Styela clava: one gene and its partner. The protein of the gene in region 1 purifies or fractionates together with the protein of each later gene. This does not show direct contact. Links are inferred from orthologs where the notes say so. Each region holds a gene or a part of one and is shown on either strand. Other genes may lie near its edges.

Evidence for each region.
Region 2: the proteins of DNA polymerase delta catalytic subunit-like (region 1) and DNA polymerase delta subunit 3-like purify together in Homo sapiens (co-immunoprecipitation; 8 studies listed by BioGRID and IntAct, with this or other methods). This does not show direct contact. The link is inferred for Styela clava from reciprocal best matches to the Homo sapiens genes POLD1 and POLD3.

What each region holds. Positions count from the first base shown.
Region 1 is NC_135250.1:14,612,971-14,629,384, reverse strand, and holds DNA polymerase delta catalytic subunit-like, read left to right. Parts: upstream 1-7,218; 5' UTR 7,219-7,537; coding exon 7,538-10,696; 3' UTR 10,697-11,048; downstream 11,049-16,414. UniProt on the Homo sapiens protein: As the catalytic component of the trimeric (Pol-delta3 complex) and tetrameric DNA polymerase delta complexes (Pol-delta4 complex), plays a crucial role in high fidelity genome replication, including in lagging strand synthesis, and repair.
Region 2 is NC_135257.1:21,467,513-21,484,077, reverse strand, and holds DNA polymerase delta subunit 3-like, read right to left. Parts: upstream 8,855-16,565; 5' UTR 8,764-8,854; coding exon 8,701-8,763; intron 7,823-8,700; coding exon 6,371-7,822; 3' UTR 5,847-6,370; downstream 1-5,846. Other genes in the region: transmembrane protein 65-like, read left to right, coding at 10,611-10,939, 11,469-11,629, 12,961-13,002, 15,729-15,796, 16,224-16,278. UniProt on the Homo sapiens protein: Accessory component of both the DNA polymerase delta complex and the DNA polymerase zeta complex.

The DNA of each region.
Region 1 (16,414 bases):
ATACGGTAACTGCCTGAGGCTTGAAATAAGCGATAATTGGAGTGATATACCGGTAACAGTTAATACATGTATGATTAGGGGAAGATCGAGGACCTTGAAAATTTATCATGAAGCAAATTCTCCAGTCCAGTCTCGGATGATTTCATACTTTGCCAAGATACATTAAATTCAATTGGGCTTCAAATGACAACATGTACAAATCACTTTGTTTGAAATATACATACAGAAAAACTTGGTGCGACAAATGGCAGAAAATTTTCACTATTAAGACATGCAACGGCAAGAACAATATGATACAAAGATGGAAAACTTGATAATGTGACTATTTGATTACAATATTATATTCATAGTGCTTATAATGAAATTGCTTATTATATCATTCTTTATAAATAGTACCTTACAGTTTGCTGAACAAATAATCACTATTAATAAATAAATAAATGCCCTTTATTTCAATCCAGAGTGTATCTGTTGGCATTTATTCCTAATCTAGTAAGGATGAAGGGTACACAGAGAGAAAGAAATGAATTAGATTTCGGAAGGCATACTAAAAAATGTACCTAATTACATGGAGTTCGTGATGTCCAGCGAACTGAATATTCGAAATCGGATCAAAAACGATTCGAATTGTTTTCGGCCAATATTATCTACATAAAGCGGAAATATCCTCACGACCCGATATTTCTCTAGCCTTCATATTGCGATGAAAAAGGGTGTCTCTCCTAATGCCGAGGGTATATATCATGCGTAGTCATGACTGACAAGTTATTATTGGCAGTATATGTTTAGAGAGAGTACATAAGGGAAAAAGAGCAATTTAGTATCCATAGAAAAACGATAGTTCCATCAATGCAAATCAATTCGAACATTTCAAGTCAGTAATCGGGAAGCACACATTGTGGAGGTTTTATGATGGCAATACTTAGTATTAACCATCTATTAACAAGACAAATAACTGCACTCTTGCATTCTGATGGCTGGTACAGTAACAATAGGTTCATCTAGGGATATTATCATCATCAAACTAGCTACATTTTTGAAATTTTTGGGCAACAGTTTTATTTATATTAATGTTTATTAAAAAATTGCACAAATTCAGACTAGTGATAACAGGGTTAAAAGAGTATATACAGGCCACACATGCCCTATTGAAACTGAATATATAAGAATTGAGTAAATAAGGTATTGGGAGTCTCTGTAATTTTCAACTTTCAACACTCATATTTTAGGGAGGCATGTGATTTCCATACTCCATTGATAACTCTGGAAACATAGTTATACAAAATATCATCAGTATCATTTTAAATGTAACAGCATAATACGTTATTACAATATCGAAATAGGATTTTTGGAGGATATTCGTTTCGACAAATTATACGATTCGAATCAAACAATTATTCGATTTTGGACAGCCTCATGGAGTAAAAATAAATAAATAAAAATAAATTAAAAATCTAATGAAACATTTGATATTGCAAATATCAATCCTAGACAGAGTATGGCTAGGTCATTTTAGAGAAAATTGGACATTCAAGAAGATTTCAATCTTGTTATTTTCAACATGTAAATATAATAATGTAGCTATGCAAGCAATGCAATAATCGAATGATGTATAAAATCTGATTGAATAATTTTGGAGTAAACTTTTCGAATAAATCTCATTTATAGAAATGCAATTTTAAAGAGAAACAGTACAACAGTCAATAAACATTTAAGATAATTTTACAAAAGATTGTAAACATATAAGTCTATAGGAAAACAAAAATAATTAAAGTAAGCATCGTATTTAAGTCTTGGCATAGTAAATAATATATTAAAGTCGGTACTACACATTGCAGGGCATACAGATGCTGAAGTCATCAATAGTTTAAGGTATTGACTATTGATCCAAGGTTACGATTAATCATAGGGATGTTAGAACTGCTCCTGTTACTATTGGCTCAGTCCTACAAAAAGTTTTGAAATACGCAGTGTCAATACTAGCAGCATATGCAGACACATTACCAATCAAATAGATTAATGGATGATGATCGAATAAAACAGCATTTCAGAATATGATATATTAAAAGCATGGTGTTTGGGGTTGCACACAGTGTAATTGTAATTATAATATGAATATATATGAACAAAATGCATTGATTCATAGATTAAATTTAAGGTTAGGACATAGTGATATCATGACAAATGCACACTATAGGAAATAGTACACAAAGCATATGATTTCAGTTGACCACGTTGCAGAATCATCCTATTTTTGGCAGAAGTAAAGTGAATACGGTAAAGATATAGATATATACATGTATAGCTCAGATATAATTCTACTAATGGTTTGTAAAGATTGGGAGAAGCAGACCAAACACAAGAACAATAGTAAATATATTTGTTCCTGGATCTTGAAATAATGTATAGTGAAAAATAAGTTGATCTAGATGTTATACTGTACACGGTGTAAAAAGTAGGGTCATGAATAAATAGTTTAACCTTGGTCAAAAAATGTGAATGCACAAAATGGGGGTGAAATTGTTATTATTGAAAATGACTTTCAGGAAACTTAATTATAGAATATGCAATGTTAACACAAACAGTATAAGCAGATACATAGTATTCCTAATCACATAAATTCAGGATTGCACACAGTATACAATTATGATTACAATTATGATGAACACTGTTCATTGAAATGTTTACATTTCAAGGTTAGAGCTTTATGGCCATTTTAACAAATGCAAGCTATAGGTAATTATCAGTTGTAGGTAATACTACATCATGTTTTGCCAATAGTTAAAGAAAATAAAATGAAAAAACAAATAGTTATGCAAGCACATGTAAATTACAGGATTTAATACCAAAAAGACATGGTAATCAATAAAAACAGTTATATAAACTCCCTACCATATAAGTCCAAGATCAACCAATCAAATCCAACGGTGTGTGGGACAGCATACAAGCGGTTGGTTGGATGATTAGGGTATTAACTTTTGGGGAACTTTATGACGCAGTTATTAATAAATGTCTGATATTAATATTTATCGATGAGATGTTTCATATATTTATACTTAAAACTATTGTATGATGATTCTTTGATATTGTCAGGAATACTGTTCCAAATACATGGACCAGTGAATTTTATGGATCTCTGAGCCAAATTTGAGCTTGTTCTATTAACAAAATAGGCTCCTCTACCAGCCGACCGAGTATTATGTCCATGGATATCACTAGAGTTTGTGAAGTAGTTTTCAAATGCATCCGGCAAAATACCCCATTTAGATCGAAACATAAATTTCGCAACTTCAAATTTATATACATCCGCAAGTTTGAGAATACTCATCTGTCTGTATATAGGATCTAAGCTTTCACGCATACGTGCGCCACTCATTAATCTTAGGGCACGATTTTGAAGTACACAAATCCTATTGAGATAAGTTTTACAAGCAGAGCCCCATGCCACAATTCCATATTGTAAATGGGAATAGAAGAGTGAAAAATACACAGTTTTTAAAACTTTTTTTGGTACAAATTTTTTTAATTTAGTCATGGCCCCAATTGCCCTTGAAAGCCGACCAGCTAGTTGGTTGATATGTGCTTGCCAATCAAGTTTTTTATCCAGGATGACTCCAAGGTATTTTACACAATCATGGTTAGTCAATTCAAAATCGTTTAGAGTGAACTTAGGGTTGTAATTGGAATTTTTAAGCTTTTTGAAACAATTAATTAGTAAGACTTGCGTCTTGTTGGGATTAACGGTGAGTTTGTTGTGAGTGAGCCAATCAGAAATATTATGAAGTTCAACATTAACTTTTAGTTCCAAGTCGGACAGATTCCTTGTAGCAGAGGTGGAACTGGTGTCATCCGCAAAAAGTTTGATCGAAGCATTAGTGGCATGGACAATATCATTGATATGGAGCAAAAAAAGGGTCGGGCCGAGTACAGATCCCTGGGGAACTCCTACAGTCACATTTGCTTTCAGTGATTCAGTACCAGATATGTTCACAAATTGACTTCTATTTTCCAAATAGCTAGCAAACAACTTGTTTACAACACCGCGAATTTCATAATGACTTAATTTACGAATTAAAATTTTGTTTCACTTCAATTTATGTTATTTTGTTCTATTTATTAATTATCCTCCAATGAAACGGTTAATACAACCAAACACCCCAAAGAAACGGAAAGCACACATCAAAAACAACAATACCAGGCAGTAAAATGTAAGAAAGCAATATACACCATAAAAACACTAAACTAGCTACTTACAATTTGCAAAATAGGCTGAAAATAACTTATGACAGGCATTTTAAAAGACTATATACAATTCTATGTGTGCACAACATTTGAACAGTACAGATGATAGCTAATACCATGACAAAAATGAAACAACAACACTAAATGAACTGCAATGGCACTACACGCAAACAGCAACAGGGTCCCAACATTAGCTCTCCGTCCAGCACAAAAACATCCAACCAACCCTAATCCAACAGTCACAAAACCACAAACAAACATCCCCGATAACCCACCGGATATCAGAGGCACTTCCACAGACACAAAACACCCAAAATCCAGCCACACTCAGACAACTGCACCCTGCCAACCACAGCACACGCTAACAGGCCACATCCAGAAGACTGATCGACAGTGTCACATCGCCCCCAGTGTCTTCAATGCCAATGCCAATTCTTCCTATACTTTACCATTGCAAAATTTTCGGGGCTATTTTAAGAGTGCTTTTGCGAGTTGGCGCCTGTAAAATGGGGTATGTGTTACAAACCATCATTATGATTCATGGCATACAACAATCTTTTTTTTAAAAGTACCGGTAAAAAATTTCAGGCTAGTCTATCACAGCTATTTCTACACTAATTTTTATTAGTGCAATCAAATTAAAACTCCTAGGAAGACAGAGTGATCATTGAATTATTTGATTTATATTTAAGTTTCCGAGACACAACTGAAAATTAACGAATAGAGTTCAAAAACGCGAAAACGAGGTAATGTTTACAACCACACTTGAAAATCTGTCTGAGTGAGAAAAGTGTCTGAGCGGATGCGAAAAGGGGGCATTGTTACGTCACTTTTTGCATCTTGCTGATTAGCCAATGTCACGAAGTAAACAAGGAAAACGATGCTCGGGGAAAGGTATACCATACTTATATATCTTTGATATGACATTCGGTACAATTCTTCAAACGTTCGGGTGAAATTTTTCTGGCAAAGGCGGGAAATCCTTGGAATTTGTATTACAGCATTCTGGATCTGGCACTGGGCAAAGTGACTATAACACTTTGGCACTGGGGAAAGAAGCGAACGCAGTTTTTCATTCAGTCATTGCATGTGCTATATCTGATATCGTTACGTACCAGTAACGTATCTTTCAACCGGGGCCTTACTACTGTACCTGCGTAATGTACCGGTACCGCCAAACGCAGCAAACTGCACGAAGCAGAAGAATACGTTCCTGCTGTCCTGGGAACAGTGCAAAGGCGAGTGGAAGTGGTGACTCTTCTACGGCCCATGGGCCGGAACCACGGCCCATCGAAATGGGCCTCGGCCCATCAAGTTGTGTAAAGGGACAAAATAATAAAGACTAATAAATATGGGGTCTGGTATAGTTTAGTACCACATGTACTTCTAGTTGACCTGGCTCAACAATTTTTGCATATGTCAATCCTAACCCCCACCTGACCACGTCACCGAAAAATTACATCATTTCGACGTCACAGTGGCGTAATAAGGCCCACCGAAGTATGCGGATGCTCGTCCAAAACGCACAGACGATCACCCGAAATCGAGCAAGCAATTTCTCTCGTTTTCTCGTCACAACGATCACTATAGGAGAGAGATCGCCGGCTTTAGCAAGTTCGTTATCAGCGGCGCAGATGTCATTTCGGGCGATCGTAATTATACTTTGGCAATCCCCATGGCGTGATGGTGACGTCGTAGTGACGTAATTTTTGGATGGCATAGTCAGGTGGGGGTTAGGAATAGCATATGCAAAATTCGTTATGCTACGCCCACCGGAAGTACTTGTCGTACTAAATTATACTAGACCCTAAATATGTAAATCCTACCCACTCCCCGAACTTATAATAGAACTACATTGTGAAAAATCTGAACAAAATTTTGTCCTAACCCTAACCTGGTACACATACTTCAGGTGTATCTTTTTCTGTAGCTTGGTATTTTGCTTTATTTTTATGTAAAGGCTTATCGTAAGAAAAGGTTTGGTGGCATCCCACGATTTTTTTTGGTTTGAATATTGACAATTTTATAAAAATTGAAAATTTTGGTGAGATAATGGATTTTTTTCTGATGGGCGCGGCCCATAGCTTGATGGGCCAGGGCCCATGTGGCCCAATTAGATGGGCCGTGGCCCCGGCCCATGGGCCTTAGAAGAGTCACCACCCCTGTAACGACAGGCAGACAGGAAACAGCACGAAACATACGGTAAAACAGTAAAAAGCTTAATATGTAATGTTTTTCAATTATATCTGTATATACAGATATATGTGTACCGTATGTTAGTACAGTCTGATAGTACTGTAGGGATACGATAAGGGTACTGTAAATACTGATATATGTATAACGTATATTGATGTAAAGATGTATCATGATTTAATTCCCCTAAATCCAGTACAGCACGCTATCCAAATTCCAAGAATTCCCCTCCATTTGGCTCAATAAAACAAACACTCTATGTGTCTCACAAACGAGGGGCGTCTGGGACCACGTCAGATGCTTCATATCGCGCCATGATTGTCTTAATAATAATCTAAATTAATCGCGGCTGTCACGTCCCCAAAATTGCCGTTTTTTGCTAAGAACTCTCAAATGCCACAGTAAAAAAAATTTTTCTTTGGTAAATCGGATTATTTTTTCCCAAGGAATTCAATGATGACGTTATTAGATTGCGCTTTTCTATAGTATTTTGCGCAACTCCATTATACTGTATTATTACCGATATTGAGGAACAACAGTGTCCATCAGTCCATAGAATCAAATCTTGGAATCCTGACTTTATAATCCAACCCAGAGAGTTACTCAATCAAGTAGAATTTATTTTGATTCCTTCTGTTCTAAAATATTATCAAGGTATTGCCATAATAATATGTAATTAGGACTGGGCAAAATATTCGTATAGCGAATCGAATATTAAATTATTCGAATGGCATTTTACTATTTGAATATCCAGTACCACTTTGCTTGGACACGGAACTCGCGCCTCTCGAAATCGATCGTGAATCGCGCCAGAATTCACCTACAACGCTCGATTGTTGAAATGTCTTGTCTGAAAGTTACTATGTACTTGAAAATTTTAATAACAAAATCTAAAATTTTACTCTTTTTCTGTATCGGTGGAGCCTCTCAAACTGTTTTTCAATGTCAGAATGTCTTGTTATAATTATAAATTATGGTATATGCTTTTATTCTCGTGTTAGTCTTCAGCTTTTTAAATATATGTATTTTATGGGTTTAAACTTGCCACTTTGTTTGTAGAATGACAAAATTATTCTAAAGGTAATTTAATTTTTACACAGTTATGGATAAGAGAAAGCCAAACAATGATGGTAGCTCTACCTCCAATGGCAAAAAGATCAAGATGTCAGACATTGCCACACAGAACAACTGGGGAAGACCAACATTACCAACAATAGATCCAAACACTTACAACATACAAATTCAACAATTGGACTTAGATACATATTTGTCCCAAGAGCCTGTGGCGGGTATATATGATATTCCATATGGATGTGCTCCAGTGGTTCGCATGTACGGCATAACTGAAAATGAACACTCTGTATTATGTCATGTACATGGGTTTCTGCCATATTTTTATATTCAAGCCATGAAAGGTTTCAACCCAAATGACTGTGACGAATTCTGTGAATGTCTCAACGATGTTGTTTTACGTGACATGAAAGGAAATAAAGAAGTCAAAGTGGCTGTAGCAAAAGTTGAATACTGCATGAAGCAAAATATGTATGGTTATAACAGCCTGGGAAAAGTCCCATTTCTCAAAGTCACAGTTGCAGTTCCACGACTTGTTGCCACCACACGAAGGATTCTGAGAGAAGGTTTCAAAACTAAAAAATACCCAACTCACAATTATCAATCATTTGAGAGCAATATTGATTTTGAAATTCGTTTTATGGTTGATACAAAAGTGGTTGGTTGCAATTGGGTAGAAATTCCAGCAGGAAAGTATAAGGTGCGATCTGGATCAAACTGTGTTTCACAGGCTCAACTTGAAGTTGATATAAAATGGACAGATCTCATCAGTCATGAACCGGAAGGCGAATGGCAAAAAATTGGGCCATTGAGGGTGCTGAGTTTTGACATTGAATGTGCAGGTAGAAAAGGCATTTTCCCAGAGCCTGAAATTGATCCTGTCATTCAAATTGCTTCAATGGTGAAACGAGAAGGAGAAAAAGAACCGTTCGTTAGAACAATATTCACTTTGAAGAGCTGTGCTTCTATTGTTGGCTCACAGGTTTTTTCCTTTGACTCAGAATCTGAACTGTTACTGGCATGGGTGAATTTTTTGAAAGAGGTTGATCCCGATATCATCACTGGTTATAACATAGAAAACTTTGATCTTCCATACCTGATCAACCGTTCGCAAGCACTGAAAGTAAAGGAGTTTGCCTATTTTGGACGAATAAAAAATGTTCAATCAAAAGTGAGGGAAACAAGATTCCAGTCAAAGCAAATGGGAAGCAGAGAAACAAAACATGTCAATATTGAAGGCAGAGTGCAGTTTGATGTATTTGTCGCTCTTTTGCGAGAACAAAAGTTGCGTTCTTATAGTTTAAATGCAGTGAGTTTTCATTTTCTTGGTGAACAAAAGGAAGATGTCCACCATTCCATCATAACAGAGTTGCAGGAGGGAAATGAACAAACAAGAAGACGACTAGCTGTATATTGCTTAAAGGATGCTTTACTTCCTTTACGTCTTCTTGATAAACTGATGCTTATCATTAATTATATTGAAATGTCCAGGGTGACTGGGGTGCCAATGACATATCTGCTTACTAGAGGTCAAAGTATCAAGGTTATGTCACAATTGTTGCGAAAGACATCGGTGGAGGATTTGTTAATGCCAGTAATGGAGAGCAGTGGAAGTGACGAGCAGTATACAGGTGCCACTGTTATAGAGCCTGTTAAAGGTTACTATAATATTCCTATAACAACTCTCGATTTCTCCTCGTTGTACCCCTCAATTATGCAGGCTCACAATTTGTGCTACACCACTTTGTTGAAAAACAGTAAGGAAAAGGAGAAATTGCAGCCAGAAGATTACATCACTACTCCTACGGGTGATACATTTGTGAAAGCATCTGTTAGAAAAGGATTGCTCCCAAAAATCTTGGATAGTTTGCTCACAGCCCGTCGTAAAGCTAAGGCTGACATGAAAGTGGAAACAGATCCATTTAAACGAAGTGTGCTGGATGGTCGTCAATTAGCCTTGAAAATTAGCTGTAATTCGGTGTATGGTTTTACAGGTGCTCAGGTTGGAAAGTTGCCATGTTTAGAGATATCAAGCAGTGTCACCGGCTTTGGTCGAATGATGATTGATCAGACAAAACATCATGTTGAGAAGAAATATACAATTGATAATGGTTATTTTGCCAATGCTTCAGTTGTGTATGGAGACACAGATTCAGTAATGATTAAATTTGGGGTAAAAACTGTTGCAGAAAGCATGGAACTGGGCCGTGAAGCTGCTGGATTTGTCTCTGATCAGTTTCCTTACCCAATTAAACTGGAATTTGAAAAGGTGTATTTTCCATATCTATTGATTAACAAAAAAAGATATGCAGGATTGTACTTCTCTACTAGTGCTGAAGTTCATGATAAAATGGATTGCAAAGGTATTGAAACCGTTCGTCGGGATAATGCGCCTCTCACTGCCAATCTGATCAACAGTTGCCTGCAGAAGCTTTTGATAGATAGAGACCCTGATTCTGCAGTTGCATTTGCAAAACAAACCATTTCTGATTTGTTGTGCAATAGAATCGATATTTCTCAGCTAATCATAACAAAAGAGTTGACAAAAACAAAAGAACAATATGCTGCAAAACAGGCTCATGTTGAACTAGCTGAACGAATGCGTAAACGAGATGCTGGCAGTGCACCGCAACTAGGTGATAGAGTTCCTTACGTTATCATCTGCGGTGCCAAGGGTCAAGCGGCATACTTAAAATCAGAAGATCCCATTTATGTGCTCGAAAATAACATCCCTATCGATACAGAGCATTACTTGAAACATCAATTATCTCAACCCCTCCTTCGTATCTTTGAGCCTGTTTTGGGTGAAGGAAAAGCGGAGTCAGTTTTGTTAAAGGGAGATCACACTCGTGTGCGCAAAGTTGTTACCTCAAAAGTTGGTGGCTTGATGGCTTTTGCCAAAAAGCGAGAGACTTGCATTGGATGCAAATCGTTGCTCAAACACTCTGGTGCTGTTTGTGATCACTGCGAAGAACGGGAATCTGAGATCTACCAAAAGGAAATTCTAAAATTGTCATCTTTTGAAGAAAAATATTCCAGACTGTGGACTCAATGTCAGCGTTGTCAAGGTTCACTTCATGAAGAGGTTTTGTGCACAAGCAGGGATTGCCCAATATTTTACATGAGAAAAAAAATTCAAATGAATTTGGAATCTCAACGAAAAGTGGTAATGCGATTTGGTGATTGGTAAATTCTGTTTTATCATGATATATTCCAAGATTTATGTTACACAATTTTTGCGTAAATCATGATTCATGATATCATTGTTGACGTGTTAAATGTAACAGGAAAACTGACTTTTTGAATATTAAAGTGTAACATTGATTTTCTTTAATACAATTCCTTTGGTCGCTGGGTCAGTTTTGCCGGATTTCTTGTAATATAGAAAATTTGATGTAATGTGGGAATAATGACATTAATAGTTTTTTTTCTGTTTTTTGGGGGGTTTGCTTACGTCTTCATAGACAGTTGACATAAGCAGGTTTAATTAATATCTGCTATAATGAGTGTATTGTTGAAAAATAAAAAATTGTGATATCATTTCCATTTATCATGTTAAGGAGTAAAATTTAGACAGATAAATACGCCTTGGAGGGGGTTTGGGTGAAAGGTTAAAAGCTGCTCTAGGGCTATTTTGAACCTTTTGTTAATAGTAAGTTTTATCTGAACATCTGTGAATTAGAGATATATCGGCCAGATTTTCGGTATCAGCTAAATTTAGACCGATATTTACGATATATTTAGCTTCTCAGTATGATCCAGATTTCTTTTAAAATAGGTTAGAATACTGATCTTGAAATTATTTTTGTTTGGATGAATGGTGAACTAAGAACCGTGCACGTCCCCACCCCCGCTAGTAGAAACGGGAATCGGATTTTGACTTGTTTTTAGCCACTTATCAGCCAAACTGGCTCAAATCAATTTGAGTAATTTCGCTGCCAAATTTTTAGATTAAAATTTTTAATATTACATGGTAATAATAAAAAAATTTATCAATCGAATATTAGTGGATGTTCCGATGTGTAAAATATAAAATACGGCGTTATATTGGCACAAAATCCTGCGCACGTAACACAACGTATGAGTTTCATACGATAAGTAGGCTAAACATATATTTATTTTACCATCAACGGTAGTCAAATCCTATTAGTTTTTTAATTGAACATCGAGATTACCAGCGACAGTGCTCAATGCATCTGAAACGCATTTCGATCTCAAACATCTACTTCTTAACACATATATATATACATATATGTGTGTGATATTTCTCTTTTTTGATCCGAAATAATGCTCAAAGACTCTTATTTTAAACCGTCTGTCCTGTACACTTGAGGTAATAATTACATAGTATCGGTTGTTTTCGAATCGGCATCGGCGACAAAAGTGGTATCGGTACATCTCTACTGTGAATAGTCTCTGTTGTCCCAGACAAAGAACAACCCTGACATGATGACATTTTTGTATTCTGGTGTTCTTGTTTGTGGTCAGATCCATATTTAAATACGTTTTTCCTGGTACAAGCAATTCGTGTACTGGACTTCAAAGTGGCAATACATGATCTCTGTTGCACCAGGACAAATGAGGCTTGAAATAGAACCGAAATACGGTACTCTAGCTCAGGACTACTCAACTTGCGGTCCGAATCTTAGACCTTTCGAGTGCTAAATTTGGACCGCAGCTACTTCTTGACTTTGAACGCATTGTTTCTTTTTATTTCACAATCGTTATGTAATGCATTTTTCGCTAAACGACTATGAAAAACCGTCATTGTAATAAAAGTTTCTCAGAGCATCGACTCACTTTTGTGATTGATCAAGAAGATATTAATTCCGGCGCAACTACTGCCATGAAGTTTTAGTGACTTCTTGTATACATTTTTCGCAAATTCTTAGACATGGCAGTGAACGTTAGCTTGTTTTTGTAGCTTATAAATATTCCATGTATATATTTCACACGCTCGGCTTCACAACTGAAGCCTTACGGACACCGAAGCGTGATATTAAGCCTTGCTATTGTGTTTTGTCAAACTATGCATTTGTAATTTTGTTCCATAGCTAAAAAAATATTCTTGGAACGACCGGACCCCGGTAATTTTTAAATTTTGTATACAGACCTTTGATGAAAATAGTTGAGTAGCCATGCTCTAGCTATTTAGAAAATGTTAGAATGTTCGCATTTATATTAGGTGTGAAATTTCGACCCCGGAAAGATCCACACTGCGTTCAGTTGCCCAAAAGTATTGTTAGGCTCCGAGCTCCATCGGCCACAGCGATAATATTCCTCAGTTAAATGGAGTGGAATTTGGTTGTTCCATTATTATGTATCGACGAAACTGGTGGTAAAACTAAAATGCGTAACCTTAGAATGAAACCTTGTTTTCAAGCTGCCAGATCGCCAAGAATATTGGTATTTTTGTGACATAGTAACCGCCTTGCTTATATAAAATGTCAGATTTTATCTTACTTACTTATCAATAATTACTTATCAATGTGTAAAATGTTGACAAAAGCTAACCCGAACGTACGGAATATCGTGGTTTTTCGGCTCGGCGGAGTGGCGCATCGTTCTAAGCGTTAGGAATACGCTTGCCACCGCATCTCTGATTATTTGCGTGGGTTCGCAGGTTCGAATCCCATGCGGGGATGATTATGTGTGAGAGGATTGCTGGACTCCTCGCCGCCGTAGGGTAGCTCACATAACCGCTGGTCGGTAATGGCTTCCTCCACCATCAAGTCCATGCTTCCGAAAACGAATAACTGGCTAACTAATCCTATACCCGACCTGGACTGGTAACCGGCCGTGGTTCGCTATATGATTAAGCCATATTATCGGATTTCCTCTCCCCCGGGATAAATATGTAAATCCTATCCTAAGTGTGCAATGTTACTACCTGGAAAATATTTAGCGATGGGGGACAGTTTGGTGAAGTCGATGCCTAAAGTGCGACATTTATTAAAACGATATAATTATGTTTTCTTTATGTATTGATTGCATATGTGCGTGTCGGATCGGTACCGCTGGTCAAATTATGCAAATATGATGACCAAAGCCAGAAGACCAGCCAGAGAAGTCGTGTTTTTCGATACGTGATCATCAACGCGCGACATGATCGTACGTAGCCTACGTACTATTTCCTTTATCAATACCTTTTCATCTGAAATCTGTACGTTTCAAACCATACTGGAGGTTTTGTTTGCTTTCCCGATTCTATAATCAGTTTTATTTATTTTGTTTTTATTATTATTTTGTTTGTTTTATCAATTACTTTATCGTCTATGCTGAATATGGAGTCGAAATATACTTATGATCCGCGTGCGGTTAAGTAGAATCTGTTTAAAATTAAGTGCGATTGCAAACCATTTTCACCAATCCAATCTGTTTGCCACTTTCATTAGACCAGCGTTTCCCAACCTTTATTGGCCGCGGACTATTTTTTCACCATGGAAAATCTTCGCGGACTCAAGATGCGTTAATTGTGTAACCGAACTCTGCATGAAGAAGCTATAGAACCAAAAACAACAGAATTTTAACGAAGTCAGTTTATTATCCACAATTACAAATTTAAATGGGAATCATAGCGTGCTCCAGTGGCGGCGCGTGGTCATTTTGACAACCGGGGCAAGCTACTGCGGGACCAAGTCACCCCCATCTACGGGGACAGGATGAGCGCTGTAAGTTCTCCCATCATTTTATGAGTATAAAAACCATTCCATCGGTAACAACCAATCGGCAAAAGCGACAATTTTTAACGATAAGAAAGTGTCTTTAAAACCGGTCCAAGTCAAGGGATTAATAAATATAGACATAGTTTATTTTGAAACCTTTTTCAAAAGGAAAGATACAATGACATATTAACAGAAACTTCGGGAAAGCAGACAAAACCTAAAATAAGGTTTAAAACGTTACTATGAAGAAAGGAAAGGTAATGCAAAGATAAGGACATGCGTCGCTCACTCATAGATATATATGCTGCTAGACTTCTACTGCTTGAACATATATGCAACACGCCGCGGTTTCTTGGAAGCAAAATGCTCAATAACGCGCTGATTAAAGTCATGCATACCAGAAATAACGTCTCTGTGAATGGATAAAACAGCCAAGGAATTTAATCTATCTTGCTTCATTGTGTTTCTGAGATACGTTTTAATACGCTTCAGCGTGCTGAATGTTCGCTCTGCGTCGGCGGAAGAAATAGGCGTCGTCAAAATGATGTCCAGAAATTTTGCAGACGCCGCAAAGGTAGTTACTAGAGTGTTATCTATGAGGAACCCATAGAGCGCGCAAGTTGATGTGATGTTCAAAAAAGTTTGATTGGTGTATATACATCGCAATTCATTTTCCAATTTACCCACGTTTATCATGGGGTAAAATTTGGAGACAGTAGCCAACAAATGGATGGGAAATTGACGTGCAAATTTTGAAAAATTTTCGGGGTTCATCAAAGAGAACGCGGCAAGGTGTTCAGTGCGCAGACGATCGCCTATTTGATTCACCAGAATGTCACAGCATTCCTTTGCAGATAAAATCAAACGCTGCGTTGTTTGCCCGCGGCGTGAAGAAGCACTCCATGTGTCGTCGTATTTTATTGTTTCCCGGATACGAGATACAGCATCGCAGAAGTCTGAAATACACGACTGCATAGACGCTCCATCCATTAGCCTTGACTGCAATGCGCCGTATAATACATCCACGTGATAGAATATTGTGGAGAAAAAATGAAAACTCACCATCTTCTAGCAGACGCTTTAGACCTGCCGCCTCCCTCACAGAGCGTTCGTCCCAAACCGGAGAGCTCTGAATGCCATTGAAACACTCAATGAGCTCAGACCTAATTTCGGACACGCCCTGCACCACGCGTGATTGGAAGTTCCAACGTGTTGGTGCACAAGCTGGGAGACGGCGGCTACATATCTGGCGAAGGAGGTCAGAGCGCTTCAGCGAAACGGAAAAAAATGACGAAAACCCCGAAACATTTGCAAAAAATATACGGACGAGAGGGGTATCAAGACACATATTTTTAATAACGAGGTTAAATTGGTGTGCATAACAATGTAAAAAATGCGCATGAGGAAAATCTTCTTTTATATAAACTTGAACACCATGTTTCGACCCACTCATGACTGCCGCGCCGTCATAAGTTTGAGCTATCAATTTTGACTTCGCGTTGTAAGGCTGTAACACTTCTTTCAGTACAACCGATATCCCGCAAGCCGTGCGATCAACGATTGGTACAAAGCTGTGAAATCTCTCGGTAGGTTTACCATCTTTCACAAACCGAAAAATCACAGCCAGTTGGGAAACGCACTTGATGTCAGTTGTCTCGTCAGACTGAATCGAAAGGAACTGGCAATTCTCAATTTCCAGAGCCAAATGTTGTAAATAAATTTTATACATTGAGTCGAGCAAATCATTTTGGATATCCTTAGATGTCCCTTTCGAAACAGTTGCGGCATCAAGATGATCTCTCAATACTGTATCTAGGGATGCGGTGTATTCCACCATATCCAAAATACCCCTCTATTAGAAGGGCCAGCCGGTTCATCGTGCCCACGGAGGGACAGCTCGTGACAACCAATGAACTTCAAAACATCTATCAATCGACCGAGAACATGGCGGTTTTTCTCGACGTTTTGGTTGTGCCGACGAATAGAAACAACCTTCATCCAACTGTGCTGCAATATTAACATTTCCGAATGTTCGGTATTTTACTGCATTGTCCAGATGCTCCATAGAAGATTGATGATCCCTGGCACGCTCGGAAAGATGTTTAAGATCTCTAAAACCAAATTTAAACCAACGTGAGTCACGGGCGGTAGCAAAAAGTAGGCAATAAAAACAAAAAAGTGCATTTTTGTCCTCGCTGTAACACAACCATTCGTGTTTTTTATACCAAGTTTCTGCGCAGAAT
Region 2 (16,565 bases), on another chromosome or scaffold:
AGATTTTGTATTTTCACTTCCAAACGTATTAATTTTCAATGCAATGAAAAAAAATTTTTCTGATCCCATTGACATTAACTGCTTCAAGTCTCGCCTGAATTGGTATATACTGGCAATCTCGCTCTATAATGGATGTTTTCCGACCTTTGACCCCAAAAAAATTCTTCCTGTACTTGACTATAGCAAAATATTTTATATTTATTCCTGTGAGTGTTTTGGAGAGTGGAACTTTACAAAATGGTTTTTCATTTTTAATAAAATATACAACCACACGTAGCTTAATAAAGGCACCAATAGCTAATTTTAGCCTAGTCTAGCAGCTTTTGTGAGACTAATTTTTTATTATTGCGACCATGGTTCATCTCAAAATATAAATCTTAATTAAGATACTTCATTTATACCTATTTTTTGGGAATAAATCTGAAAACTGACAAATAACACGCAAAACTGCGAAAACGAGGCAATTTTAACAACCATGTTTAATATCTGTCTTAGCGAACGAAATCTCTGAGCGGCTGCAAAAATTACAATTGTTACGTCAATTTTTGCTGATTGTCTTCGTTACGGTAATAAACAAGGAAATCGATGCTCGGGGAAACATCCTTTCTTTACAGTCACAGTATCTATTGACATATTTGTGGCTACCTGTAACTAGGGCTGGGCATTCTCGAATACCTTGTGATTTCAGAATAGAATTGAATAATTTTTTCGAATCGAATCTCGAATACTTGAAAATATATATTTGTAAGCGACTTTATTATAGTAATTGGTTCTCTCAACAAATGAATTACTGAAGACATAAAATAAAACACTCAGATAGATTACTGAGCGTTCACACAGAATAACAAACACGTTTTATGAATAACTCACTACAGAAAATAGTCATATGTTAGAATTTCGTTGAAAAAATATGACTCCAATGAAAAAAAAAATTGGGGAATTCACCTCGACCATTGGCGGAAAGATAAAAACAAGATGGCGGCGATTCAAAATTTAGCTCTGAACCGATTCGAATAATTTACTATTCGATTCGAAATGCCCAGCCCTACCTGTAACTAACTTATTCCCCAAATATATTGCTTCAATCATGTGTGCATGTGCCAACCGTCTGTATTCGAATCTGCATGGAGTAATTCATCCATAACTTTTATGCTTTGCTTTTAGATACCTTTGGGCAATTAGTCTGTTTGATTTTTTATGCTGAAACTATTTTTATAATTACTGATGTGCCATTTTGCGCTGGGAACTGAATCACGATGATTTCTCATAGTTGTCATGTATTGAACATTTTACGCGGCAGAAAAGTCTTCATGCCCTGAAAAGTCGAATTTAAGGGAATGGAAATTTAGGATTTTAAAACCTCCGCACCCCCCCCCTTTTTTTAAAAAAAATTCTGGCTGCGCGCCTGTTTTCAAATACCTTTGTGCAATTAGTCTGTATTACTTTACAGAGTTAGGTATTTTTATAATTACTGATGTACTGATTACTATATGTCCCATGGTGATTAGTAATACGCGATTTTGCAGAAACTAGATTGTGGCGATTTCACTGGAAAGGTGAAATTTCAATAAACTCAATGGCACCATATTGTATATCTGCCGTGCTTCGATTTTATCGAACTGAATTATTACAAGTTTTAGGATTTTATTTTTAATTACCTCATTTAATTTGGTGCTCATCCCATTTAATAGAAAGTACTCACTTTGAAACTCGCGTCATATCAATATACCGCTGTCATTTTTTTATTGGATTGAACGTTTTAATAATCGTGAATGCTTCTGCTGTTTTATTGCCATATTTGAAAGATGTGACATCTATTTTATTTTTAATGCCTGCCATTTTAGGTACTTAGTACTATCTATTAGGGATGCTCTAAACCAGAGGTGCACAACACCAAAGCGACTACCGTATCACTCGATTATATTGACTTTGCACTTTGATCGCAAAAACGTATTCAAATCACAAATCATTCACGACAATAAATTGTTTCAATAAATAGATATTCGTTATCATGTTTATTATTACTTATCGATCTTAAGATCGGTAAGAAACAAGATCTTAAGATCGGTAAGTACATTGATAGGCATTTGTCTGTATGTCTGTCTGTGTGTGTGTCTGTTAGATGCACGCGATATCTCACAAAAGCGAGATTGAATCTGCTCCAGATTTTGCATGTGCATTCATCTTATCTCGGATCAGAAGCCTATTGATTTTGGGCGAATTATGTCGTATAATTAGCGAGTTATCAATCAATTATTGATATAGTGATCTAGATTTTTGTCAAGCGAGAGAATTTTGAAACCCGCCGAGTGTGTGTGTGCGTTGCGCAGTGCGCAAGTTACAAGAGCGGATGAATCGAAACTGCAGTTTCTGTTTTGGGGGATCCCCTAACTATCGATCGATAAGTCTTCGGTTTCCAACCGGTATTCTCGTTTAAATTTGTTAATGTGTGTTTTACGGGAGTTCGTTTACAATACCAACGATTATGCGTGGCACACGACAAGATTATTTTGAAAAATTTGGTACATATCCTCATTTGAGTTTTGCACACCTGCTCTAAACCAGGAGTGTGCGACCTTTACCATAGGAGGACCAGATCCATTAGCTGGCAAAACCACGGGTCGCGCCTTCATTTAACAAAGGCTTTCTTGTAGTTTTGGTTAACATTTTGGTTATTGATCCTATGACATGCATTGTTCACTTCGCATAAGCTAGCTGGTAGGGCGTTATATCGTCATAGATAATAAATTCGACTCTTTGCAACGTAACGGGATTGGAATTACTCGCACAAACCGATTTGAATAAATTAAAAACTTGTTTCGCTGGCCTAACAATTCTTTCTTGTGGGCCACAGTTTGCACACCCCCTGATTGGATTGTCAGACAAATGATAAACAATGAGGTAGTGATTACCAACCTTTTTGTGCTTGTGACCTTCCGTTTCTCATTCCAGTGGTATTCATAGTGTTATTTTGATCAAATCCTATTATGTTCAAACAATTCTTGCTCAACAAAGTGAAAACACTCCTGTGAAATAACCTTATCAAGAATAGAATTTTTTCTTGTCAAGGGGAAAAGTAAAATCAGTTTTGTGGCCTTCCTTCAACTGCCCTTTGGCCCCCTTCACGGGTCCCCGGTTGGGAATCACTGCTAAAGGGCTCGGCACACATAAGATCAAGGTTGGGCAACATACGACCCGCGACGAGATTTTGACTGGCCCGCTGACTGTATCCAACCACACTCTGTAATGTGGTCCGACGCATCATTCCTGAAAGTTGCCGATCGCTCTACTCTCACCGCACTGTCAGTGCGAGCTGGTGAAATAAACAATTGCCTTAGTGAACAAACAATTGCGTTAGCACACTTGTTAAACAAACAATATAAGGTCAAAGCAGAGAGCGTTGTAAACATTCCCCACTACTGTTATCAGTTATGTTTAGAATCTAAATATAAATAGATTTCAGAAATTAGATTTTATATCAAGTTTTATTCACCACGGAATATCCCAAGAAACGTAAAGTTGACAGAGAGTGTCGAGCATTTAACGAAGATTGGATACCGAAGTATTTTTTGTAGTAATCCGGCCCGCCGAGGGCTTTTTTTTTTCACATCTGGCCCGCCGACTAGAGAAGTTGCCCATCCCTGCGTTAGATGGTGCTGATGAAATTCTACTCTGACAAAATAGCTAACAAAGTAAAGCTTTTTTGCTGGTGAAATTTTGCTAGACATATTTAGTATACTGTATTTTATTCAATATTTCTTCGTACTCGCTCTGAATGTTTTTAATTAATCAATTTTAAATCTTTTGCAATTAGTTTGTTTTTCTGTAACAGCAATCATTTTTTCGAAATAAACTTTTCAATCAAAGCGTTTCTATTTTATTTTAAAGGAACAAGAACTCGTATTATAAATTGTTGAGAGCCGTGCCGTAAATTGGTGTCATCCTAAATTTATTGTAATTTGAGAGAATTTCAGATTTGTCAGTGGGCTGTGATAACCATTAGAAACAAAAATTACCACTTATTATTCTATGCAAGTTAGCAGGTGCCGATTAGGTAAGAAATAATTAGGAATTACTTGTTGTAGGATGGTTAACCTAACTGCTGGTTAGTTTTAGATTCCTTCACCAAAGTCCACAAATCAACTATAATGGACTGGTTTTTGCCATACAATCCAGGGGGCTCCCGAAGTATGCGAACCAAGATGGCGGACATCGGAACGTAACAGGTTAGGGTTAGACGATAATTTTTTTCCAATTTTCCTTATTTTAGTCCTATTATCAGTTCGAAGACTAGACAAGAGCCTCCAGTAGTATTTATACCTAATATTATGGCCTAACCCTAACCTAGTACACATATTACATTGCGATGTCCGCCATCTTGGTTCGCATACTTCGGGAGCACCCAATCCAGTTATGTAATAAACTTTCCCTCCCCCAGGATTTTAAGAAAAAGTATCCTATTGGAATTGATTTACATCAGGGTTTCCCAAACCTTCCGGGTCGTGGTTCCCCTATTTGTGAATCTTAGTTTTGACCGGACTCGCATGCTATGCCATATCAATTTCTGGGCCTAACCAACAAGGAAGGATAATGTTTAATACAACAAACAACATTTGCTTTTCACTGCACAATTTTTAACTCTAGGAGCGATTTGTGACAAGCAAACTCGAAGGGGCGACTCTACTGTCTTCATATTGGTCCAATCAGACTCTTAATATCGTTGCAGACCCCTTGTACATTCATCACGGAAAACCCACGTACATTTGAACCCATGCGTATATCCACGGGTTCAATCCATATGCGGGTGCCAAAACCCATGGGTTAGGGTTAGTATGGGTTTAACTATCCGTGACACAAAAAAAATTCCATAGGTGCAAATTGTCATGGGTTCAAATGTACGTGGGTTCAAATGTAATGGAACCTCGTTGCAGACCCTGACAGGCATATCAGAAGAAACGAGGCTCCCGAAGTATGCAAACCAAAATGGCGGACATCGGAATGTAATGTATACTAGGTTAGGGTTAGACCATAATTTTAGGTATAAATACAACGGGAGGCTCTTGGCTAGTCTTCGAACTAATAATAGGACTAAAATAAGGAAAATTGGAAAAAAATTATCGCCTAACCCTAACCTGTTACGTTTCGATGTCCGCCATCTTGGTTCGCATACTACATACAATTTTCAACTCTCGGAGCAATTTGTGACAAGCAAACTCTAAGGTCCGACTCTACTGTCATCATATTGGTCCGATCAGACTCGTAATATCGTTGCGGACCCCCTCACATTCATCACGAAACCCCAGTTTGGGAAACCCTAATTTTGATGTTACCCACACAAATGACAGGCATATCAGAAGAAACTTATCATCTGGGCTGGCAGGGTGCTTTCTTCTAAAAATAAAATCCAGTCAGACCTTGAAATTTTCAAAATACTAAATCGTGGTAGCGATGGCTATGTAGCCTCTCGGATATCAGAGCCACTTGTACTGTTAAAAAAATGACTGAAACAACAAAAGGTACAGAAACTTCATAGAATTATTGGCGCTCCAGAAGTAGGTGTACCAATATGGAGGTAATTAAAACCTATTCACTTGGCTAACACAGACAATCCCTTAACTCGTAATAGAACTAAAAGTAAGAAAAAAAACCATGACCTAACCTCAACCTGGTACACATACTATGGGAGTACCAAATTATTGTCATGGAATGCTGCTCAGAAACAGATTGCAGGAATGGCGGCACCATTGCAAAACAACAACTTTGAAGACCAATTGACTGCATTTGCGCTCTTCTACCCCTATTGCAAGGCTTTCCTTGTTGTTCCGAGGCCACACATAGTCACATGGTTTTTAAAGGATGTCATCGTTTAATGTAAAACAGCTTCATAGAAAAATCCATTATCTGATACTAAGTCGCTCTTAATCTCTCTCAAAAAAAAACAGGACCCATAAAATTATTAGTTACTTCAACGAAATTTATGGAACACTTGAACTTCTGTTTGTGTATGATTGTCCCCAATGAGTTTCCGTAATCAAGGACGCTTGGCACAAAAGTTATATTCTCTCCATGTTACAAATGACCTTGGGTTCTGTTTGTTTAGTCATCTTGTATTATCTTATATTATAACTAGGGATGTCTAAGCGAACAGAATATTCGAAATCTAATCGCAAATTATTCAAATTGTTTTGCGGCTAATTCGCAAATCGGTAAAATGAGGCAAAAAAAGATTCTATTTTGGACAGCACTAATTAACCCATCTCAAGTTGCACAGCCTCCCGTTCAAGTTTTAAGTTCTTGAAAAAGCAGTGCATGTAGCATGTACAATGCTATAAATATTTCCCACTATTTATGACAAAATTTGAATAAAGAGTTATTTTTTCTTGAAAAACCCCATAATTGATGCTTGTTTCTGTTGTTTTTTTGGTTGAGCTGCAGTAGATATCGCTGGAAATTTTTTCGTTTTTGCTTCTGTGTCACCATTTGCAGTATTGTTTTTGTGGTTTTGTTCCGCTTGATCATTGTTACCATTAGCAACAGGTTCTGCATCATCGCATTCTTCAAATTCATAATACTTTTGTGTTACCATACACCCTTCTTCATCAACAAATGTTCGACTTTTCATGACTTTTTCCCTCCGTTTATTAGTTTTGACTTCTTCAACAAATTTTTCTTTCACAGGTTCGGGTTCAATCACAGGTGGGGGTGAAGGAGGGGGAATTCCCATCTCTTCCTCGTAATTTTCATCTTCGTTTTCATCCTCACTACTAGAAGATAACATTTCCTGAATTCTGCGTCGTTTCTTCGCTGGAAGCTCGTTCGAATCATGCCGCGAATTTTTTTTGTTTTTATTCGGCTTCGGTTTTTCAACAGGTTTAGGTTTTGTTGATTTATCAGCGACTTTTTTCAAACTTTTTACAGATTTTTTATCAGTTTCAATAAAATCATCCTCGTCATCCGAAAAATCATCAATTCTTAGGTCATCTTCTTCAACTGAACGTTTCGATGACGATTTTTTATTTTTTTTCTCTGTTTTCAATGATTCTTTTGTCTTATCTTTTTGAGGTGACTTTTCAGTTGTACTGTCCCTTTTTGAAGGCTGTTTTTCACTCTTATCGGACACTGTTTTCTGTTCTTCTTTTATCACCGGTTTTACAGTCTTACTTTTTGCAAACGGATCGGTTTTATTTTTTGTTAAAAACGCAGCCACGCCCTTTTTCTGCCCCTTTTCCAATGGGGGATCAGGTTTTTTATTAGAGTTCAATTTTTGGGGTTCAGCGTCGCTTTTCGATGCTATTTCCTCTTTAACTTTCTTTTGTGGGGGTGATGTTTTCGTTTTTGTAAAAAAATTGACTTTCTGCTGCACAGGTTTCCCTTTTTCAAATGCTGGTTTCGCAAATTGTTTTTGAAGATCCGCAGAAATCTCTTTAGCACCACCTGGTGTTTGTTTTTGTTGTTTAACTTCATTCTTTGATAAGCACTTTGCACCGTTGTACGTTATACCCCCAAATTTCGAAATTCCGCTCAGATTTTTACGATGAGTGTCATAATCAGTGGAATACAGCACAGCACTGTGTTGAAGTTTCATTTTTTGCACGCTATATAACGAAACACTATAAACTTTATCCATTTTTGATTTCGCTGAGTCAAGATCGACATCTCGAACGACCTTTACACTTATTCCAGCTGAGTCATGTCCTATTATTGCATAAACAATGTGAATTCCATTGTTTTGTTTCTTGCATGAGTCAGCGTAATTCTGAAGAAGACTTTTTGCTTTGTTGGTTGGAATAGCGAGTTGTTCGCTCAGCCATTTATAAGTGACCTGGAAGGGAAAAAGAATAGTTGTTGAATAGGTATGGAATTGAAAATATTGAAATTTGAGGAAAATTCCCATTTTTAAAATTTGCAAAGGAGTAAATGAAATAATAAGGTTAAAAAACCGGGTCTAATGTAGTTTCTTACCTAACATACTTCTAGTGGGCTTAGCATGACGATTTTTTTCACGTATCAATACTATCCCCCACCTGACTACACCATCCAAAAATTACGTCACAGTGACGTAATACAGCCCTTCAAACTATACGAACTGCCATCCAAGACGTACAAATGAGCACCCGAAATCGAACAGTTATTTCTCTCATTTTCTCGTTGAAACGATTCCTATAGGAGAGAGACCGATAACGTCAGTCAGTTCTTTATCGTCGGCGCCAATGCCATTTCGGTCCATCGTGCGTATATTTGGCAAGCTCTATGACGTCATTGTGATGTCGTAGTGATTTAATCTTTGGATGGCTTAATCAGACGAGGGCTAGGATTGACATATCAAAAAATTGTTATGCTACGCCCACTAGAAGTACGTTAGGTACGAAACTACACGAGACCCAAAAAACCTTCTGACCTTGGATATATGATACTTCGTTCAACCTTTCTATGCACAAGATTTTCGATTTAGCCACAATATTTCTATTTTCTGTCATTACCAAGACAGCAAGGCCTGTCTACTGAACTACTAAATGCATATGATAACTTTTCACCTACTCGGACTTGACTGAATAAGGAGATGAGAGACCTGGCTTGCAATATAATCAAGCCCTGTTATCCTCAAATATGTAAAATTTCATCTCCTGATCTCTGTGTCCCAGAGCTGCAGAGACAGGAAACATGAAAAGTAAATTGGAAAAACAAAAACCCCAAACTTACGATTCGATTTTCGTCATCTACGAATTCGTCCACAGTCGCCAGAAATGCATCCAACTCATCCATACTTCAAGAAATAACATATAAACAAAAATTACAGGGCAAAATTTTGTTGAACTGCAAAGTGCAATACCGGTATTATTAAAATGTAGAATTAGGAAACAGCGCGAAAATTAATGATTGACGCGTTGGTCATGCGTAATAAAATTGTCACAAGATAGGTTTGAAACGTTTTGTAGTAATGAAAGCTTGATTTAATTTAAAATATTAATCAACTTATTATTTTAATATAAAAATGTATATTCAATTTTGTTTTGGTCGTCTTCCATTTTTAATAAATCATTCAAGTTTTAGATTCGGGAGATGGCGATATAGAGCTAATATGGTAAATTGCAGGGTAAAAGTGAACAAAATGTTCTTTTCATTTTAATTAAACTTATATCGAATTGCCACACGGTATTCCGTGTTATGATAAATTAATTTAACCGTTGCATCTATATCGTGATTTCTACCCTCATTTTTCGCCTGAATACAGCGGTTTTACTTGTGTTCTCGAAAGGCTTGTTCACCGAAGAAATGTGACAGTGAACACGGAATGCTCGGAAAAAATAATGTTTATGGCTACTTTACCCCGCATAATCCTCGTCAGTTCTTACATGAAGCGTAAGATCTACATCGAGTTAAGCTTAAACTTAAGTATACCTCACGTTGTAACCGTTTTAATTAACCAACGTTCGTCGGTATTAGTTTTATAAAATGTTATCGCAAGCTTGCGCTAGGGAGCAATCGCACCATATTGCAGGGGTAAAAATGAGCAAATGTTTATTCTTCTGCGAATCTTAAAAAAAATGGTTTTCCTCTCCTTCGTCTTCCTGTATTCGTCGGTAGTTTCCGTCCGTATCAGAGTTTTAGTCTTTGAATTTACAATCCTTTCATTCCTTGCTTTTAACGGATGGAGGCAGTTGGAAGGCCGCGAATTTATAAGGGATATAAATGCAGGAAATCTGCAAAAACCAAATTTGTTATTTTTCGTATTTCTAAAAAGATAACGCTAATCTGAGTATAGTTAGAGTCTCTTAATGGTAATGGCATTAGGCTGATGCCAAATCGTCCAATCGGAAGTTAAATTGATGGAGGGGGGGGGGGGGGGGCTAGACCACTTCACTCACAAAAGCCAAAATATAGGCAAATTAGAGTCCAGGATTTTATCAAATATTATAATCAGTAACTTATAATTAATTTTAATTAAAATGAACTACGGCAGTATGGTACTGTAGGTAGGATAGGATTTACATATTTATCCCGGGGGAGAGGAAAGCCGATAAGACGGCTTATCCATATGGCGAACCACGGCCTCTCGTCCGGTCACCATTCCAAGTCGGGTATGGGATTAGTTATATTGTTTGTTTTCGGAAGCATGGACTTGGTGGTCGAGGAAGCCGTAACCGACCAGCGGTGACGTGAACCACTCAACGACGGCGAGGAGTCCAGCAATCCTCTCGCACATAATCATCCCTGCATGGGATTCGAACCTGCGAACCCACGCAGAGTAATAAGAGGTGCGGTGGCGAGCGTATTCCTAACGCTTAGCCCGCTGAGCCACACCGCCGCGCCAGGTAGTAGAAAATATGTTATGAGAATATATAGTCTAGCTTCCTAAAGGTTCAAGCAAGGTTTCCTTATTGAAAGTCATGGATTTTAGACTAGGAAATATAATTGAAGTTGTTGATTACTCAAGTCAGTTCAAATTCATCATAGATAATTCATCAGCCTTTCAATATTGTTTCTTTATTTCCATTCTTCTGAATTAAGTGTTTTATAGCAGTGGAAACAGTTAGAAGCTGTTAAAACTGCAATAACGAGGATATAAAACCTGCAAGCTTCAAAAACGTTTTGGAGCGTCTGCATTTGAGATGAACTGGAATATTTGCCAAAGAGTGGGTAACATGCTGCAAACCTCAAGAGTGTTACATCATAATACTTCCACACTGGGATGTATTTCAAACTATCACATGAAATGTAACTTGCCAACCAGAACTGATTTAAATTTTATTCAAAAAAGAAGAACACAAACTTCATATTTTTCTCAAAAACTTTTTGAAAACTATGCACAAAGGACTTCATTCTTATGTTGCTTTTCCACTGATGTTAAGAGCCGATTTCCATCAATTATTACCTCACAAAGAAGGGATGCCTCTTCAAAACGATCAAGCAAAAAAGCTCAATACTATGCAGAAAAAGGGTGAGATAATATATTCAATAGTTAAAAACTTAGATAAGATAAGATAATTTATTTTGAACTCTGGTATGGCACAAAAAATGACTACACACAGGATCAAGATATAAAATATTTTTGAATTTTGAAAAATTATTTCAAAACATGAGACAGAAAGTATCTCGCTTAGGTTATAGGTGAGAAAACATAATGGATACACTTTTTTTGTCATTTCGCTGGGGAGCATTGTTAGCGTCTATTATTGTTAGCGTCTATTCCTATTTATCTTGGAAAAGGAATGCCAATTTGAGGGTTCAATCATACGACAAATCGTGGCATCTTGTCTAAATTGGGAGTATCAAAATCAGTTCATTTTTTCAGACTTGCTGGACTCTTCCTGTCGCAGAGTGATATAGGCAACCACTGGTCGGTTTCAGCTTCCTCAACCAAGAGAGGCCGTGGTTCGTCATATGATTAAGCCTTTTTTATCGGCTTTTCTCCTGGGGTAAAAAATTTTATCCTAATTTTCAGTTTAAGGAATTCATCCACTTTTTAGACATTCAAGTCGAACGAAGCTATACTATACTTTGAAGCAATACATTCGATCACCAGAGAACGCTGAAACGTTCGTGTCCCATCTTAAAGAAGAGGAACGCCGGTTTTTACTCGCTGCTTTAGAATCTTCTATTGGTATAAATACTAACTCTGAACAGCATGGTGAGCTTCTAGCTTAGTAAATGTTTTATTAATATTTAAAACATTTTGAGCTCTGCACGGTGGCTGGTGATGTAGCACAGGGCTTCCCAAAGTTTTAAGCTCGAGACCCCTTCCATATTGAAAAAATTTCCGCGACTCCTGTTAAGTCGGTATTTCCATGCAAGCGTGCCGCTTCTCCAATGTATTATCTCGAAATTGTGAGATTTATGTTTTGCTCTAGTTGTGTTTCGATTCGAAAGTCTAAAAAAGTACAAGAGATAAAGCACTTTGTGTGAGATTGGTGTACTCTTTGCGACCTTTATAATTCGTTGCCCCCCATCTGCAGGGTCACGACCCCCAGTTTGGGAAGCCTTGATGTAGCATGTAGGAATTCACTCTTCTATTTTCTATGGGGTTTTGAACTTTATGAAGAATATGCTCATCTCTGAGCAACGAATCAAAAGGCAAATGAGTTGAGCCTGATGGTTATTCTGATGATAGGGTCATAGCACATCATAGGAAGCATTTGACTCAACTTTAAGAATTGAATATTTTAAGCTTTGCATAGCAATGGATGCTGGTGATGTAGGATCTACCAACTAACTCTGCCTATCTTGGAATTTTTTATAAAGGGCACATGGGTCATCCCTGAAATGCCAAGGGTGCCATACAGTATTCTGACAATAAGGAAACATATGTTTAACTCTGTCTCTTTTACGTCTGAATGGCTTTCAAGAGCTTTTCTTCTAAGTATACTCCACCAAATCAGTATTTACTAATGTTTAATTAATCACCATAATTCTATATAGTTTCAATAGTTCACAGCATTTCACTGACCATGAGTCTCTTTTAATTCTGAGTGAGTGTGTGTATTGGACCACATTAATTCCATGTAGTTTTATGTAGTCTTACTGCATTCACATTACCTTGAAGAAAATTTCTGTATAAAGAAACAATCGAAAAGATTTTTACTGCTTTATTCTTTTTTCTCTCTGAAATCATCAAAAATAAAAGTCTTGCTAGCTTTCACACTTAGCTGTAGAATTCATTGGATATCATTAGGTTTATCCATATAATTCCTTGAATGCCTAATTATATTATTTCCATGATTAAATGTTCATATATTAAAAAAAATTTCCTGGTAATGTAAAGTTGATGAAGTCACATTTTATTTCTATTACGTAGGGAACCCGTAATTCTGAAACGTAATACAGTGCAAACAATAAAATGCTTGATTGGGAAGGAACGTCTCCCATTTCCAAGAAGGCAGAATTAGGGAAACCTATATTTGACTTTCAATTTGTGATTTTAAGCTTGATGCTATAAAGTGTAAATGTATATATTATTTCCAGGTGAGGACTCAGGACAGATCACCAAGCGACAGTTATATCTTGGTGAGTAATTTTACCTTTACATGTGTGTCTTTTAGAGACTCGAGAAAAGCTGAAAAAAACAAAAATTTCGGACTTCGGATTTATAAAAATTCATGTTTAATAATGTTTCAAAATTTTTCGTTCACCTGTTTATTGCACTAAGATGAAATGGCCCACCTTTATGGGATTCAAACCCTCGATTTTTATCCTGTTCTTCACAAAAGTCCATTATGTCCCATTCCATTAGGATGATCCAATTGCATTAGTTCAATGTTGTGGCATCACAAATAGGCCATTAGTTAGATGCCACACCATAAATTATGCATGATGTGGTCTGTCTTAATGCAATAACAACTGTTATGACTACTGCTAGTCCTGAAGATTGTTGACTACAGCTTTTGATTTCTGAATAAAGGTTGGCGTATGAGTAAGACGTCTTATCGACTTTCCTCTCCCTTGGGATGAAAATGATATCTTATAGCAGTGGTTCCCAAACCGCGTTCCGTGGGCCTCGTGAAATGATTTTACATACCAAATACCGCCAATTGTTATGTCATTATCGCAGTTTGAGGGTGTGTGCTCTTTATTCGGCCCGCGAATATCCTTTCGCTTCTAATTTTGGGTCAATCAATTTTAAGAACCACTGCTTTATATTGTGCCTGGCTAAATATAGCATGAGCTTAGTCGGGACGTTAAGTTTTCTTGTCATTCGATCTCTAAAGCTCTACATTTTTTGGCGAGCACTTGCCTAGTTTGAGGGTTGAAAGCATCATAGATCAGGGATGGGCCAGTTATACATAACAGACATAGTTACTGGGCCGTTGGCTCAAAACTCTATATTAAAAACTATCAATAAAAACAGTTTATTTACAACAGCTAGGCTAACGTTTATAAAATAATAAGAAGCACAATGTAACAATCAGGGTCATTATGACGTTATTTTCGTAGATACGGGAATTTAAATCCATGAAAACTATAGTCGTAATTTCAGCAGACACAAGTGAAGTGATGAAACACTTTGGTGTGCCGCTTCCATCCCATGGCCGCAATTAGCCCACCTCTAATATGCTTGACCCTTGAGAGCTTATATCAATTTCAATTAGAAATTCATATATTCTGAAATTCATTCAAAAACTACTTTCCCATTATGCATGACATTAATTATTCATGCCCTGTCATGTTCATATTTATGCGCTTAAATCAACTATTGTCAAATAAATGCGCAAGATATGTCTTGCAGAATAATTGTTACACTTCAATGAATATTGCTGTCGTCATGCTTCAATGAACACTTCTTTGCGTCCTGGTTTTGGGTGTTTCTGTCAATATAAATGTATATGTAGCACGAGGAAATTATTGCGAGATGATGGAATAAAATATTCACACTTAGTGGAATTTACTTTTTATAATTTTGTGCCAATATTATTGCCCAAATGAGTCAACTTTTGTCAGCAAATAAATGTAGAAGATATATCTCATATAATGTTCTTTAGGCACCAATGAACATTGTGTTGTGATTTCCATTTGCTGGATTAAATCCAGGGCTATGCTGTCTGGAAAATTTGCAGCCGTTTAAAAATGTATAAAAAATGATTTTATCTCTGACTCCATCTTCATATTAATAGAAAATCAATGTGTCATCACACAAACTTTGACTTTATTAGCATGCCACAATAAAGAAAACTTTATTTTTCTCAAAACTTTGTGCTTGTTGGAATTGGTTTTCACTTCGATGAAGTCATAGAAATTATAAATTGCACATCATGTGCTTGTTTCCCTAATTGCAGTTCAATAATCTGCTGGCCAGCGTAGGTATTTATTAGCATCCTCTGAGACCTTGACACGAAAAATTTGAAAAACACTGCGTGGACCACGTTATTCGGGAATTTAAAAAAAATTCTGAACACAATTGGATGAAATATTGATTGATTTTTTGTGAGAAACATGATCTCACATTCACTTAACTTATTAAACAACACTATACAGCAACCATGAACCTCTCAATGCAATTTGCAAAGCCGCGCTCATTTATTATTTATAATGCAAGTGTGTCTGTGCCCAAACTCTGCGTGACATAAGCCAGATTAAATGGGTCTTTGTAATTAGAGAGAAAATACAAAAACGGCCTATGGCTTTGAATAAAGAGATTCTGAACTAACAGGGCGATACTCATCTGTCATCAATAAGATTTCAAATTATGTTTTCCCACTGTTAATAAATTGAGCAATCACTGATTTCTATGATTCTCTAACTTTCACACGAAGCCACTATAACTTGACTATATTGCATTCAGAAATTAAAAATCCAAAATATCAAGGGTCGTTAGAATATTTGGATAAACCCTGTAAACCAGTAGGACATGGCGTCTATATTTTAATCAATAACACATAGAACAAAATTAGTCAAAATAGTTGGCTCTCCTGAAGTATGTGAACCAAGATGGCGGACACCGAAACGTAGTATGTGTGCCAGGTTAGGGTTAGGCTATAATTTCATTCCAATTTTCCTTATTTTAGTTCTATTACGAGTTCGGGGACTAGCCAGGTGACTCTCATAGTATATGTACATGAAATTATGGCCTAACCCTAACCTGGTACACATACTAGGTACCGGTGTCCGCCATCATAGTTCACATGCTACGGGAGTACAAAGTAGTTAGGGCCAACACCCTTATTATGAGACTATCATGTCATGTCCACTGCTAGATGAGTCACCCCAATAATCAGCCGTAAATTCTTGTGTTTCAGTTTTCGTTCACAACTGTATCCCGTTTATTGGTTTTGGATTTCTCGATAATGCAATCATGATACTGGCGGTAATTTATTTTGTTTTGTTGGTTCGAGGGGCCTAATTGAGCCAGTTTTGTCAAATATCTTTTTAATTAGTTCGTGTTCAGCAAAGATATTGTGAATTCATAGATATTTGATTTGAAATAAACCTTGAGATTATCAAATTTTCAAATGCAAAGTTCCAAGATTTCAAATGCTTGAAAGCTATTTTTCCTGTTGGCAATAAGTAATTTTATTGTTTGAACAAAAATAATTCATCAGAAAAAATCATACGGCGCTGAATTACTAGAAACATCTTTTAGTCAGTTAATTGTTGATCTATTCAGACCAATTAATTCTGTTAAAACCGCCTTAATCCAGTTACGACCATTCTCACTTTAGTTCACTCCCATGAGACACTTTTTTGTTAAAATAATTGGATTCTTCACTGAATTAACTTTCTTTGTTTTCCAGGGGGAATACATTGACCTGACTATTGGCGTTACCTTAGGGATTTCTACAATGGCAGGTGGGGATGGATGATTTATAATTATTGTAAAGTGGATCCATAATGTGTCCAAAAAATCTCAGATGAGAAATTTTCTGTGCCTGGCAAAATACTTTCTTACTTTCCCCTCCACATTAAGATCTTTTCTTATGATTTCATTATTTCAAGTTGTGTGTGAGTGTGTGTGTGTAACCTCGCTTCGAAAAAACATGCTTTTATATTATTGTGGTTAGATAAAATGCCTGCTTCACTATCACAAGACACAGAACAGAAATCCATAAAATACACTGGTGTGAAACTGTGGAATG